Linked DNA regions of Tamandua tetradactyla. The protein of the gene in region 1 purifies or fractionates together with the protein of each later gene. This does not show direct contact. Links are inferred from orthologs where the notes say so. Each region holds a gene or a part of one and is shown on either strand. Other genes may lie near its edges.

What was found.
Region 2: the proteins of NUP62 (region 1) and NUP88 purify together in Homo sapiens (co-immunoprecipitation; 4 studies listed by BioGRID and IntAct, counting the BioPlex papers as one, with this or other methods). This does not show direct contact. The link is inferred for Tamandua tetradactyla from reciprocal best matches to the Homo sapiens genes NUP62 and NUP88.
Region 3: the proteins of NUP62 (region 1) and NUP98 purify together in Homo sapiens (affinity purification with western blotting; 3 studies listed by BioGRID and IntAct, with this or other methods). This does not show direct contact. The link is inferred for Tamandua tetradactyla from reciprocal best matches to the Homo sapiens genes NUP62 and NUP98.

Annotation. Positions count from the first base shown.
Region 1 is NC_135342.1:11,237,360-11,242,402, reverse strand, and holds the start of NUP62 (nuclear pore glycoprotein p62), read right to left. Parts: upstream 2,799-5,043; 5' UTR 2,697-2,798; exon of another isoform or gene 2,510-2,696; intron 1,886-2,509; exon of another isoform or gene 1,814-1,885; intron 1-1,813. Other genes in the region: ATF5 (cyclic AMP-dependent transcription factor ATF-5), read left to right, coding at 4,083-4,260. UniProt on the Homo sapiens protein: Essential component of the nuclear pore complex. The N-terminal is probably involved in nucleocytoplasmic transport.
Region 2 is NC_135332.1:59,946,787-59,951,829, reverse strand, and holds the start of NUP88 (nuclear pore complex protein Nup88), read right to left. Parts: upstream 2,841-5,043; 5' UTR 2,321-2,840; coding exon 2,018-2,320; exon of another isoform or gene 1,855-2,017; intron 1-1,854. Other genes in the region: RPAIN (RPA-interacting protein), read left to right, coding at 2,943-3,023, 4,157-4,327. UniProt on the Homo sapiens protein: Component of nuclear pore complex.
Region 3 is NC_135334.1:74,756,095-74,761,137, reverse strand, and holds the start of NUP98 (nuclear pore complex protein Nup98-Nup96), read left to right. Parts: upstream 1-1,860; 5' UTR 1,861-2,025; exon of another isoform or gene 2,026-2,106; intron 2,107-5,043. UniProt on the Homo sapiens protein: Plays a role in the nuclear pore complex (NPC) assembly and/or maintenance. NUP98 and NUP96 are involved in the bidirectional transport across the NPC. May anchor NUP153 and TPR to the NPC.

The DNA.
Region 1 (5,043 bases):
CAGAGCACCCAGCACCCACTTGGCAAAACCCAGTGATGCTGCCTAGGTGGGCCAGTCTGTGCCAGGGCTGAATTAGGTAGGCTCCAACAGCCAGAGTGAAAAGGGCATGGGGGCTAGGACCAAGAAGATGACTTTTCAGACAGTACATCACATACAATCAGCAATATGATTCCCAAACCGAGCTAGTTTCTTTTCAGTTAGTAAAGATACCCTCCCTGGCCACCTGCTCAAAACCCCACAATGTCAGTTTAACCATGAGACAAACTCATACTGAGGGACATTCCCTAAAATACCCAAAGGCCAGGACTGTTCAAGAGTACATGAGAACATTTTCTATCTTTGCAATTTTTCTGTAAATCTTAAAATTATTCTAAAGTAAAAAGTTTATCTAAAAAATAATCTATGACCCTACTCAGAAGACAATTCTGGGAGGTTACTGTAGGAAAGGGACAGAGGGAGGAAACAGATTCTGCTAGGGAAGGGGCCAGATGGCAGGAGAAGAGTGAAACTAGTGTCTAGGAGCCAGATCCTGCCAGCAGCAGCAGGTTTCCCAGTAAGGGTGGCAGCCTCATCAATCTGGTGGTCTGGGCGGCACCTCCTCACTGACCGCAGTGAGTCCAACTGTCTAGCATTAACCCCTACCACCTGCTGTCACTGAGTTATAGTGAGAAGTGGAAGTTTGTCCTTAAGCCTCCAGAAACTGGTGAAGGGCTAGTTTTGAAACTTTAACTCCTGCAACTGGAGCTTCAACAATCCTAACCACCACCCCTAACAGTGCCAACCAGCAGCCAGGCACAAGTCCAAATGTTTGACATGGACTAACTTACTTAATCCTCATGACAGCCCTAAGAGATGGGTACTATTACTGGGCACAGAGTAAACAGAGGCACAGGGAAATAAGTGTAACTGCCCAGGTCACACAGCTAGTGAGTGGAGCACAGCCAGCTGTGCACCCAGATCACCTGGTGTCAGAGCCTGTGCTGATAACCACTACCGTACCCTGTCTAGGTCATAATGTAGCTCCAAAGGGCCCAGCTATGGGGCAAGTGCTCAGTACTGGCCCAGTGGATGGACACCAAGAGGGTAAGGGGTCAGATCCAAGAAGGACTTCCCACATGTAACAATGAAGGAAGAGAGGGGATTTCTTAACTCCCAGACACTCTCAAAATCAAAGTTCCCACACATTTTTTGGGCCTCGATTCAGTGTCTTCACTGTCCCAGGTGGGATGAGGGTTGGGGGTGCAGGTGTGGTTCAGTGGTAGAATGTCTGTTTGCCTGCCATGCAGAAGACCTGGTTCGATTCCTAACCCATGTACCCACAAATAGAAGGGATGAGGGCTGAACTCCAAGTGAAACATTCTGATGTGGATGGATGCAAGGTGGGAAAGAGGGTTTCTGCAGCAGAGGAAAGATCTACATCCAACCAGGGCTGGTGGAGGGTCCAATGTATGGGGGTGGGGGAAGAATAGTTAGGAGGCTGCTTTCTTTCACTAAATGGAATCATAAATCTCCCCATTTTTTGGCAGGGTTGAGTTCCTCACACAGTGAGTGGCAGCTTAGGCAAAGGACAATTTGAAACAAAGTTTGGGTGAGAGGCAGAAGCAGAGAATAACACACGCGGTGGAGTCAGAGTATAGAGGACAAGGACTGAGGGACTGTGGATGTTGGCAGGTGGGCAGAGGTGAACAGAGGGTGGAAAAAGGATGAAGTGGGGGTAACAATGCCAAAATCCCTGCACGGGGGTGGGCTGAACACCCACCCTTTGGAATGGGGGAGGGTGGTGATAGCTGGAAATTACATAAGAGGAACCTACCAGCAAATCTTGGTCAAGTATCTGGGGCTCTGCCAGGAGGGGAAGACAACGTGATACTGAGTCCCAACGTTCCTATTAATAAGAAGACAGGGTTACCAGATGAGTACAAGCTGGGCTGTGCTTCATGGACACTGTCATTTTAATTCTCAAACAACCCCACCAAATAGAGGGTATAATTCTCATTTTATAGATAGCGACAAGAGGTCCACAGACCTTATTTGCTCAAGATCACCAGGCAGGTGATTCGAAAAGAGCACCGTCTGACCCCGGGGTCCCGCAGAAGTAACCCACAAGGATCCTCACGGAGGCACGGGCAGAGACTCCGGTGCGGCTGGCCGGAAGTTCTTTCGTGAAGCAGGGGAAGGCGAGAGACACGTGAAGGCCTGAGGGAAGCTGAGGGGGATGGGGTCGGGCCCCAGACCCTGGGGTCAAAGGAAGGAGGAGAAAGGGGTCTGTGCTCCCGGGTCAGAATCCCTAGAGTCAGAGGAGGGAAGGGGTCGGAATCCCGGGTCAGACGGAAGAGAGGACCACAGCACCGCAGGGTTAGTGAGAGGAGGGCGCCAGGCACCCGAGTCAGGGAGAAGACTGGGCCCCAGAGTGAGAGGAGAAAAGGGCCCAAACTCCGGGTCACAGAGACGAGGGGGCCGGGCCCGCCTCCCTGCCAGGGCCCGTCGGGGCCCGCAGGGGCGGAGCGCGGAAGGATCCGGCAGAGCCGTGCTGCGCCACCCCCGCTATATCTGTCCCGGGTCCCCGGGGCCGCCTCATTCCCTATCCTCGGATCACGGTCTCCCTTCACGCCAGCGCGACGCCACCACCCGCGCAGTCCCGGCCATGGCCCTGTAGCCGCGAATCCTCCCTGCCCCCCGGTCATCTCCGCGCTCACCGCGCCTGCGCCTTCCGCTCCCGCTTCTTTCTTCAGCCGAGGCTACCGCCGCCTCTCCTTGCCGCCGCCATGGAGTGAGTAACCGCTCGCCCCTCCCTCTCCAACCGCCCTTCCCGCCCTTTCACAGCGCGCGGCCTTCTCACCGGGGCCGGGGGGTGGGGAGCCGGGAGCGTGGACTCTAGGTCGCGCAGGCGCAGGAGGGAGAGGCCGCGGTCGGCGGCGCGCGGCCGAGCATGCGCACTCGGTCCGGGGTGGGGAAGGGCCCTTCCCGCGAGGGTGTTTGTGCCTGAGTCTGGCCCGTGGGCCGAGGCGCCTGCGCACTAGCCCTCAGAAAGGGTGGGTTTTATTTTTTTCGGAAACGATCCTGTCCGTGCGCGGCCGCTCATGCCCACCAGAGCCAGTATTCGCGTAGGGCGGAGGCTTGAGGGAGCGATCACGCGCTTTAGCTCTCGAGGAGGCAGGCGCGTGCGGAGGGGTATGGGGTAGGGAGCCGTTCTCTGCTCCCTCCTTCAACGTGTCCCTTCCACCTTGCGCGGGCGCACTGCCCAGCTTCCCTCTCCAAGCACCTGCTGGGCCTGGCATAGATTGACGGTGTGGGGGCGGGGTTTAGAGGCCACCCTCTAGGAGAGGGGGTGGGGCTAGGGCCACAGCAGTAGCGAGGGGCGGGGCTTGTGAAGCCTATTGTGAGATGAGGCGGGATCCACAGAGAATTGTCAGGGAGGGGTGGAACTAAAGTAGATGGAGAGGAGCAGGACTTTGGGGGCATCGTGGGAGTCACCGCACAGTTTAAAGTAATGACGGTGATAATTCAGTGGAGAACACTGATGAAGAGGCAAAGCATGGGAGAATTCCCCTGGGAACTGATTTTAGAAGGAATGGATTTCGAGAGGGGGTGGGATCTAAAGGAAATAATTTAGGGACAGGGTGTGGCTGGAAGGAAATTCCCCTGGGATTGGATTTTTTTTTTTTTTTATTAAAGAGGAGTATCATGGGGTGAATGGGAAAGGTGTAAGGAAATTCCGCTGGGAGGACACTACATTCTCTATTAGAAGAAGGGGTGGAGCTTGGGAGAAAAGTAGGCTGGGCCCAAGGACAATTCCCTTGGGAGTAGGTGGGGCTCTAAGATTGTTGGGAAAAAAGAGCAGGTTTGGAATTCTGAGAGGAGGGTCTCCGTGGCAATGGGGGTGTAGCTTAGGGGCGGTCCTGTGCCTTTGCCCAGTGGGTGGAGCTGGCCTCTGACCCCACCCCTTTTGCTTCCCACCTGCAGATCCTCTACTTTGGCCTTGCTGCCTGTCTCCGCCCATCCGAGCATCCTCTTGAGCCTCCTCCCAGCAGTTGGTGCTGCAACCTCCCTTGCCATTGGTGCCCGGCGCCTGTGCTGCAGCCATGTCACTCCTGGCGACCCTGGGTCTGGAGCTGGACAGGGCCCTGCTCCCAGCTAGCGGGCTGGGCTGGCTCGTAGACTATGGGAAACTCCCCCTGGCCCCTGCCCCCCTGGGCCCCTATGAGGTCCTTGGGGGAGCCCTGGAGGGCGGGATTCCAGGGGGGGGAGAGCCCCTGACAGGTAAGGATAGATGAAGAGTGGAGGTAGGGTGAGATGGGGAGGTGGGGGACAAAGGGGAAGGAAGAACTCATTCATTCATTCACTCATTCATTCAGTAAATATTTATTGAGTACCTACAATGTGCCAGGCACTGTTTTAGGTGCTGAGTATACAGCTGGGAAGAAAGACTGGCGTGATCCCTGCCTTTCTGGAGCTCACATTCTAGTGGAGACAGACAAGAGACAAGTTAAATGGGGTGGGGTTTGGGGCACCCATGGTGAGACGGCTAAGTGGGCCCTTAGCAGCTAAGCTAGAACATGACAAAGGGGACCTAGTTTAGCCAGGAAGGCTTCTCCAAGTAGATAATATTTAGGCTGAGGCCTAAAGGATGGGAAGGAATGAACCATGAAAAGCCCAAGGGAAGAGCATTTCAGGTGGAAGAAAGAGAGTATGCAGAGTCCTTGAGGCAGCAGTTATTTTATGCATTACTGTATCCCAAACACTTGGCACATAGTGGGTTTTCAATAATTAATGAACTAAAGATGAAATAAGGTGCGTGTGTGATGCATTTCACTTTGTATTTGAAGAACAAGCTAGAGAGAGAGTGAATCAGAAAAACCACAGATGTAATCAATAAAGAAGATGTTGGAATGGTTGAAGAAATGCTTGGTCCACTAGTTGGTTGGATGGTTGACTGGTTGGGTAGTTGGGTGGATGGCTGAATGGCTCTTTGATGGATAAGTTGATTGTTTCCTTAGGTGGTTGATGAATTGGCTGACTTGTTCCTTGGTTGGTTGGTTGACT
Region 2 (5,043 bases), on another chromosome or scaffold:
AATGACCATATGACTAGCAACCCCATTTCTAGACATATACCCAAAAGAACTGAAAGCAGGAATTCAATAGATATTTGAACACTCATGTTCATGGCAACATTATTCATAAAAGCAAAAAGGTAGAAGCAACTCAAATGTCTATAGATGGATAAACAAATGTGGTACATACATCTAATAGAATATCACAGAGCCTTAAAAAGGAATGAAAGCTTGAAGACATCGTGTTGAGTGAAATAAGCCAGACACAAAAGGACATTTGTAAGATTTCAGTCATATGTAACAGCTAGAATATGCAAATTCATAGAGACAGAAAGTAGAGTACATGTTATCAGAGGTGGGGTGGAGAGTTAATGCACAATAGGTATACAGTTTCTGACTGGGGATGATGGGAAAGTTTTGGTAAAGGACGGTAATGAGGATAGTACAACATTTGTGAATTTAATTAATCACTTTGAATTGTATCCTTGGGAGTGGTTGAAAATGAGAAAACTTCTGTTGTAAATGTTTTCCATAATTTAAAAAAAGAGAGACTAAAGAGACAATGACATTTAAATGCAATACACAATCCTGGACTGGAAAAAAAACAATGGAGGACAAAATGCCTAAAAGGACATTACTGGGACATATTTCAAAAAACCAGCATACAGACTATGAGCTAAATTTCTTGAACTTGATCACTGTGTTTAAGGTAGAGTCAAAAGACAAATCAGAGAGAACTGCAGTTTACAGCATTTTATTTAGGATAACAAGATTGCTATAGCATCAAGGAAACATTTAACCTGCAATGCAAAAGCAGTTTTGACGCTGGGGTATTTGTGGGCTTTGCTAAACAGAAAGAAGGAAGTATACCAGGTTTTGTGATTGGAGTAGGGAACTGTTTGTAGTGCTGTAGGGATAGATCAACCTTAAGCAGGGCTTTAATTGGGTGAGGCGTGCTTAACTAGGGGCTTAGGTGGCTTTTGGGGTGGAGTATCTTGGTAGGGACTTTTGGAAGAGGATGCTTCTTATGCAATTCTGAACAACTTTTGTGTTGTTTCTGAGAAAACCTAGGAGCTATTTTTTATTATATTTTTCAGTGGTTACACAAGTTGAATATTCTCGCTCTTACGAAATGTACAGGGAAGTACTAAGTGTTCAAGGGGCATGATATATACAACCTACTCTCAAATGCTTAGAAGATAGATGGCTGCCTGGAGAGGTATCTGGAAAGAGAGAATGTCACGGAAATGTGGCAAAATATTAACAACTGGTGGATTTGGGTATCTGAATGGGTGAGTATGCTGGAGTTCTCCGTATGGGTTTCGTATTATTTCCGCAACTGTCCTTAAGTTTGAAATTATTTCAAAATTAAATTTTTAAAAGACTCTCTTCCAGTTTGGGGATAGCCTAATTTTCCAAAAGGGGAAAGAAGAAATTATCAAAAGATTCCTCCTCCATGTCAGGCACCAAGTGTGGTGCTTTCAAATCTATAACTTGATGCGATGCTCACAACAACCCCAAGAGAAAGTTATGATTACCCCTACTGCATTAATGTCACATTATGAAATAGGTTTCCTTTGACCAACCTACCAAAAATAGTACAGTCTGTATCTCCCTTTTTCCTGCGGCTTTTCTTCAAAATACTTAACCATACTGATATTTCGTTAATTATTTCACGGTTTTTCTCTTCCTTCCAGACTCCCAGAACACACAAAATAAGAGCAAGTACTTGATATGTTTTGTTTCTGTTACGTTTTTGTTAAAGTGCCTGGCACAGTGTTGGAGTCAAACATTTGTCAAAGGAATGAAACAAGTAAACAGAGTCTTCAAATTGTTACGTTACCATGCTGGAGTAGAATAATAATAAGGGGGTTTCTAGGGACAGTTTCACTCGAAATGGAGGGGGGATCCTCGAAAGACACCTGCTTACACTTGAGCGGCACACCACCAGAAAATGAAAGACAACCCGATGAAAAGGGAACAAAAAAACGAGTCTAGACCCCAGCTAAGGGTCATTTCCAAGACCAATTAGCCATACCTGATACTCGGAGAGGGAGGGTTCCTCACCGCTGCCACTGAGGCTGCGAAGGCGAATGACTAAGAAGGAGCTGCCTTCCCCGTCCCACAGGAAGAGCTCTCCACCGAGGCCGAAGAGTAGGTTTCTCGTCAACAACGGTGGTGATGGCAGGGGCGGCGCAGACAAAGATAAAGACGTAGGTTTCTCAGCTTCGGTTGGGTTCTGGTTCTTCAGTCCCTCCTGGAGCCGCAAAAACACGACGTGGTTAGGGAGCCAGGTCTGCCAGAGCTCACTGTCGCCTACCGAATCCTCAGCAGCCGCCATCTTGGCTCAACTACTCTCCTTGCTCCAGTTGCTCAGCCCGCCGCTGAGTGCAGCCAATCCGCGGCCAGCCATACACAACTTCGGCCAATCACCGAGAGGATGAACCGGAAGCACGAGGCTTACGGCTGGGGGCGGAACAAAGGTAAGGCCAACCCATCAGGCCGGGACATCGCCAGAGGAAAGCCAATCACCAGTCAAGTACTTATTCTGAAGGGAAGAGGGCGGGACGAGAAGGCCAACAGGCTAGAGCGGGTTAAGAGAAAGCATTGGTGCAGCTACAGTCTCATTAGCTGGGGGAGATCCTGAAACCTGTGTATCTAATTATCTACTGGACACCTCCGCCAGGGTAAACCCAGACATCAAAAACCTCCCCTCTTTGTCGCTTACTTCTTGCCTCACTGTCGCTCAATCTAGGTTGGATTTTTCCTACAAATGTCACTAAACAATCTCTCATATTTGGGTGCCCATATCTGTCGCCATGTGAAGTCGGTCGTTGAGATTTACACTTCCCAGAATTCCCTGCCTTCCATGGGCGTGTGATAGCACAAGAGACTACAACTCCCAGCATCCTGCGCGCTTCAGTGGGGTGGGGCCTTCTGGCTGCGACTCCCGCGAAAAGGACATGGCAGAGTCGTCAGGATATCGGCACCGCTCGCTATACAAACAGACGAGCTCGCCGCCTTGGAAGGAGGCATTTAGGCAGGTGAATATGGAGTTTGGAAGGCCTACGTGGCATGTAGTCACTCCCCTAATCCCTCTTGGGATCCGGTCTCCGAGCCTTCGCCTCAGCCCTACTCTGAGGCAGGTTCCCGGAACGCTTGGCCCGTGGCGGTTCCTGGTCACCTCCCAGCTGCCTCTCCGGAGTTTCTGCCCCCCGGGTTTAGCCTGGGTCCCTCTCCCTCACAAAGCCTAGTTTTTGGATTTGGGCTTGTTTTAAATTCGAGGTGTGGTAATGGCCGCGCCCCTTGCTCCCCTACTATATTAATAATAGTAAAAACATATCTGAGCACCTGCTCTGCGCCGGGCACCGAGAGAGGCATTCTGTATAGGTACTTCGTGTGAGGACAAGATTATTTCTGTTTTAGAGAGGGGTAAACCGAGGCTCAGAAGAGTTTCAGATACTAAGTAGCAGAGTTGTATCCCACCTCAGTTCTGATCTATTCTGAGCTCAGCATGGTTCCCAGAAAATAACATCTCCTATCTCTCCAGGAATCCCTGAAGTAGGTGATTTATCCCAGGAAAGTAAACTACTACTGCAGTGACTGTATAGCAGTTTCATAACCGTTGACATTTTGAGGGTAATAAATCTTTGCTGTGGAGGGGTCTATGTATTGTAGAATGTTTAGCAGCATCCCTAACGTCTTCCCACTAGATGTCCAATAGCCTTCTATAGAAATTATCTATAGACATTGCTAAATGTTCACTGGGGACAAAATTGACCCTGAGTTGAGAAACGCTGTTGCACAGGTAGGCAGTTACCACAGCCATATCTGGGTTGGCAAGAATTCGGTAGCAACCTAAATATCCGGTAATAGGACAGGGGATGTTGAAATACTATGCACCCAATCCTTAAGGAAGCCTGCATTAAAGATAGAATGTGACGTATGGAGATCTGGTAATACCTGAGCAAAACCTTGATGTAATTTTGCCTATCTACAGGTGGACAAGGACTGGAGGAAAATAGGAGAGGAACATAAAAAATTTAAAAGTTAGGATTATAGCTGAAATTTTGTATAATCTATAAATTTCCCTTGATGTTTTGACAACTAATCTAAGAGGTTTTGCTTTGTTTTGTTTTGTTAATGGAATTGCCCCCATCTTGCTGCTGCTTCCAAGGGATGCCTGGAGAGAATGAAAAACAGCCGGGACAGACTCCTGAACAAGTATCGTCAGGCTGGCGGCAGTGTGCCAAGGAGAGCTCAGAACACCCTTCTAGTGCAAGAAGTGATGGAAGAGGAGTGGAATGCTTTACAGTCAGTGGACACATGTCCAGAGGCCTTCGCTCAGGTCAGGTTGGGATATGTGTGTGCAGGGAGGGGGTTATTAGGAGTTTCTGGTTACAAGACCAAGAAATCCTAGTGTCTCTTCTGTACCTATTTCCCAAGTCCTCTACACCCCTACCTCCAGCCCCCAGTCAGGATTCAACTGCTATTAACCTAGATCCTTCTACCTTTAATGTTAGGTTATCAGTGCTTCCTAAATACAAGACTATAGACCTCCTGCATCATTGTATCATAATCACTTAATGAAACTTAAAGAAACCTATATGTATATTTCCAGGCTCCTGCCCTGGAAATTTTGATTCAGTAGGCATGGGCAAATAAATCTGGAGACCTTTTTAAAAAGATCTCAGTCAGGGTTGGGAGCTGGATGTGAGTAGGAAACCATTTACAGTGTATCGTCAACCGTTGTTGACGAGAAACCTACTCTTCGGCCTCGGTGGAGAGCTCTTCCTGTGGGACGGGGAAGGCAGCTCCTTCTTAGTCATTCGCCTTCGCAGCCTCAGTGGCAGCGGTGAGGAACCCTCCCTCTCCGAGTATCAGGTATGGCTAATTGGTCTTGGAAATGACCCTTAGCTGGGGTCTAGACTCGTTTTTTTGTTCCCTTTTCATCGGGTTGTCTTTCATTTTCTGGTGGTGTGCCGCTCAAGTGTAAGCAGGTGTCTTTCGAGGATCCCCCCTCCATTTCGAGTGAAACTGTCCCTAGAAACCCCCTTATTATTA
Region 3 (5,043 bases), on another chromosome or scaffold:
ACATGCACAGTAGCTTAAATTTTCAATCTGCGTGGGCTCGATAATTAGATAACCTCTAACTCTGTCATCTTGAACTGTTGTGCTCATTGTCCTAAAACCCGCCCATCTTTTGATACTATGAAACTATCAGAGTTACTGCAGTTCAAGGAGACAGATTTTTAGATCAATAGGCTGTCTGATCTGCTTCCTGTTTAGCAACAAACTTTCTCTCTTTGAGCGCATTGGGCAGAGAATCCACCGCTTTTGATCAGCATCACTGATGTAAACTTTCTGTGTGCCTGACAGAAAAGTAGGAGAGGCTTCAACAGAATTGGGTTTGAGAATGGGAGGGTGAGAAATCAAAGGTTCAGGAGGACTGAGCGATGCTACTATAACTATTCAGGGAGAGATAATGACTTTCTGATGTAGAACAAAGACAAGGGATGGTGGAGAAAAAGGAGGGATGTTTGGCTGGACTTGGGGGAAGGGGTTTGGTGTCAAATGTTTAAACTAGCTTTATTACTTGGCCATCAATACACTAATTTTGTTCTTCCTTCAAGCATCTACTGAGCACCTACCTACCATTTACCAGATTTCTCCCATCCATTTTCTTATTACATCTTTACAACCACTTCACTTTGGACAAATAAAATATTACTAATCCCTTGCTACCACACTTACTTTTAAGCAGAGCCGATTAAAGGTTTGTATGTTATCCCAGAAATAGTGGTGGAGGAGCGGTAGTGGCCTGCTTTCTGAGTACTGCTATCCTGTGTGAGACCCTCAGTCACTAGAGCGATCCAGTTTCTAAACCCTGTCTATTTCTCCCTCTCTTAATAACCAGGTTTCTGCTAATGCCCGGAGGAAAAGATGATGAAAATGTGGCTCTGAACTAAGTCCCGGGCACAAGACAAGCAAGTGAATAATAGGATACAAAGTGACAAGGCTGTAACATGGGCTACCTGAGCACTAAGCCCAACTCCCCTTGGAGAGGTGGGTAAATGTATCACAGAGAAGGCAGGGACATTTGAACCCGGCATTTAAGAATAAGGAGGGATTCTCTAAATGGAGCAATTATTTGGAAAGAAGTACCATGAGTTTCCCTGTGCACCACGCTCTACGCTGGGGTCATTTCCTTAAGACATCTCTAAGGCTGATAACGTTAATCTAGGGTATCTGAGATGATTCTCGCCCCTATTTTACTAGAAAGAAACCGAGGGTCATAGAGGAAAAGGTTGTGCTAGGCTGGCCTACACCAAGAGGGGAAGAGCCAGGCCTTGAGGGACTTGGAGTAGCCACAGGCAAGTTACGAGGTTAGACGGCCTCCTACCAGGAGGGTCCTTCAGCTCCGCACGTGCTCTGGCCCGGAAGTGCGGAGTGGGCGACCGGGAGGCCTTCCCATCACCACCCGCGGACCGGGGAAAGGTAAGGAGAGAATAGTTACCACGCCATCCTGGAGCCTTCCTTCTGATTGGCCCAAGCTTCTGCAGCCGAAGTCCCTCGCTTCCAATGAAGGGGGCGGAGCCTCGATATGGCGTCACCACTCCTCTCCCACAGCCCGCCCGGTGCATCCCAACCTAGCCATTCACCAGCCCACTTCGAGGGGCCTGTGTGACGCCACGACTCTCTCCCAGCCAATCGCGGCGGAGAGGGGGCGGGACCCCATGCCTCTCCCACTTCTCTACTCCTTCTCCTCTCCCGAACTCTTCATGCCCCTCCTTTTCCCCCTTCGCCACGCCTTCAAAAGAACGCCATCACGTTCGGTTTCAAAAGACGCGTTGCCCAATGAATAACACGGCAGGCCCAGAGCGGCGGCCTCGTCTGCCAATGCGCAGAGAGCGAGGGCGGACCGCTCGGAGCGAGCCTCTGACGGAGGACGGCGTGTGACGCAGTTGGGCCCTCTGCGCGCTGCGCCCGAAGCGGCTGTCGGTAGCGGTGGTAGCGGCGGCGACGGTTTCGTGTCGGCCGCGCGCTGCTCCTTGAGCGGCGGGTGGCGGAGGGCCCGGGCCCTCACTCCGGACACCTCCTTTCCCTCACCGTACCGTGGTAAGTCGAGAGCTGGGGCGGCGGCGGCCGGGAACCGGCAGGCTCCTCCTCCCTTCAGGGCGGGTGCGCGGGGAGTCCCAGGCCCTCTCTGCGCCGGAGTCTCGCGCTCTGGCGCGCACCTTCTGCCCCGAGGGAGGGGGCGGAGCCCGCGATCCTGCGATCCTGCGATCCTGCGGTCAGAGTCCAGACTCTTCAGGGCTGGGAGGGAATGGCTGTCTGCGGGGTTTGGGCCGGGGAATCTCCAGTTGTTGCCCACGCTGAGGGGGCGTCCATCTAACTGGTTATATTCATTCATTCGCTCCGCAGCGAATAGTCGCCTGCGGTGGGCCGACCCCTTGCGGGGGCAGCACCTTAATATCCTGAATAGGGTCTCTTCAACACTCCGTTGGCGGTCGTAGGCGGTGGGCTTTATATGCCTTGGCTTCTCCACCACGGAAGTGGCAGCCCGAGGGGCGGGTTGAGAGTTTGTTAGATTTTAAAATGGTGTTTGGCAATTGGGTCGGTTCAGTGAAGTTAAATGATATTTTCTTTTCTCCCACGTGTTCTGGGCAAAACCAGAAGAGAAGAAAGATTGTGTTTCTGGATTACCGTAGTCGTAAGGGTCTTAGAAATTATTTAAGCCACTCCATCACACGGAAGTTTTATAGATAGAGAAGCCGAGATCAGATCTCCTGACTCAAATCTCGAAATTTTTCTGCTGCACCACCCTCCCTAATTTATCCAGTCGCCCATTACTGAGGGTTCCCTTTTGGGAGGGGGCGTTCGGTAGTTAGAAATACACGTAGTCTTTAGTAGTGTTTCGTATTAAGTTACTACTATCTCTGTTGATGGTAAGACGGACACTTCATTAGTGATATACCTTAATCTAGACCACAAGAACTAGAAAGTTGGTAAAAGAATGTCAGTGATGTTTTGTATTGGAAATGAATCGATACAACTATAAACCCTTTGCGAGTTTCCCGTTCTAATTCTGACGTTTTCACTTGTATCAACGGCTGTGGGCGCTAAAGGTTCTATTAGTGACTTATGACAAAAAGGAAATGTAGACAAGACGTAGAAAACTAGTCAGCAAGCGCTTGTATTTCATATATCTTGGAATTCATAACTCCTCTTTGGGACAGAACGCAAAGTAAAGTTTGTAAAGTAGGGTAAGGTGATCAAATTAAACCACGATTTGGAAGAAGAAACTAACTGCAAGAAAGAAAGAAAAGAGCAGTGGTCATTTCTGTGGCAATCTTTTAATTCAGAAAGAAACGCTTATTAACAGAGTGACAGATGATGTGATTACTCAGTGAAAGAAGATAGGACACTTAAAAAAAAGCCAGTAGCTGGATAGGATGAAGGTACTGGTACTTAAAAACTTTTTTTTTTCCCCTGACTTCTCGTTTTAAATTTGATGACATTGGGTTAGTTTTGCCACTTAGTTCTATTCACATTAGTCAAATGGACATTTTGGTCTTGTTTAGATAACGAAGCAAAAAAATACTGAAGACTACTAGTGTATAAGAGCAGAAGAGAACTGGAGTATGAAAACTGAGATATGAACAGTGTATGTTTTCTCTGATAGTTTCTCAGTTCAAGCATCACCCTTTTCTGGGAAGCCTTCCCTGGCATTCTCTACCTCTTAAACTTCCATAACACTTATTTGATACTTCTATTTATAGCATATGTCATTTTATATTTTAGCTGTTTGTGTTTTTAATAGACTGTAGTAACATATTTTTGTCTTATCTTTGCATTCAGGTTGCCTGGCACAGAGTAGGCCCTCAATTAAGTGTTTACTTTAATGAGTAAACAAACATGGAGGAGTTAAACCTAAAAATAGTCATAAAAGAGTCAGAATATTTGTGTGTTCCTGAAATGTAGGGTCCAGAGAAGACCTCTACAATTTATATTATATGTAGTACTTTGGTACCTAACTTTATTCACATCCACTAACTTGTAAGAGTAGTAGGATTTTTAGGATATCAGGCTCACAGCTTGTTAAAATTTGGTTATTTTATTATTTATATTATTTTATCTATTATTTTTGTTGTGACAGTTAACCTAGGAAGTAAGGGATAGTAGTTTTTATGTTTAATTTTCAATGAAGAGCACATCTGTAATTATGCAATTTGTTGAAATGTTAGAGGGCTAAGAAATTTAGAGATTTATTATTAAGTATTAGAGGCAGGGCATGTATATGAGAATTTGCTCTATCTTTTGCATTTATTTCTTGAGAATTTGTTGCGTCTTTTGCGTTTCAAATTGAACCTTATGTATTTAGCACAATATGTCTCAAAATATATTTCTAGGCACTATTGACATTTTGGGTCAGATAATTCTTTTTTGTGGAAGGGCTGTTTTGTGCATTGCAGGCTTTTTAACAGCATTCTTGACTGCTGCTCACTAGATGCTGGTAGCACTCTCCCACCACCCTCCAAATTCTAACAATGTCTTCAGACACTATCAGATGTCCCCTGGGAGGCAAAATAATCCCTGATTTTGAGACCACTGTTCTAGAGAAAACATTTCCAGTATTTCATTAGAATCATGTTTTTATCTTGCTTGGAGTTTGCTTATATAGTCAATTGGTTGTATTTTGTTAAAATTATCCTTGAAAAACTCTTAAATTCCTGAGATCTGATACTTGGGAAGCTGAAAAACTTAAGAAACCAAATAGTATCTATTTCTGTCTCCACTTCCCCCACCAGAAGAGGCAAAAGATCTTGTAGTTGAACTGATGTAAGTAAATGTGATGCTCTGTGATTTAATAAATATTGAGAATTCACCTTATTAAAGAGTTTGTACAAAATCCACTGGAATGGGAAATCATTGTAATTTTTAAACTGGGGGAATACAAGTAATTTCCTAAAGTGTGGCTCTAATTGCATAAGTCTGAAACAAAGAGTGAGTTTAAACTAGGCTTGGGTAGAACCGAAGATGTGAAACTGTAAGCAGGCCAGATGAATTGGGAAGCCATAGAAATAGTCTATCTAGGACAGCAGTTCTCAAACTTTTTGGTCTCTGCATTCCTTT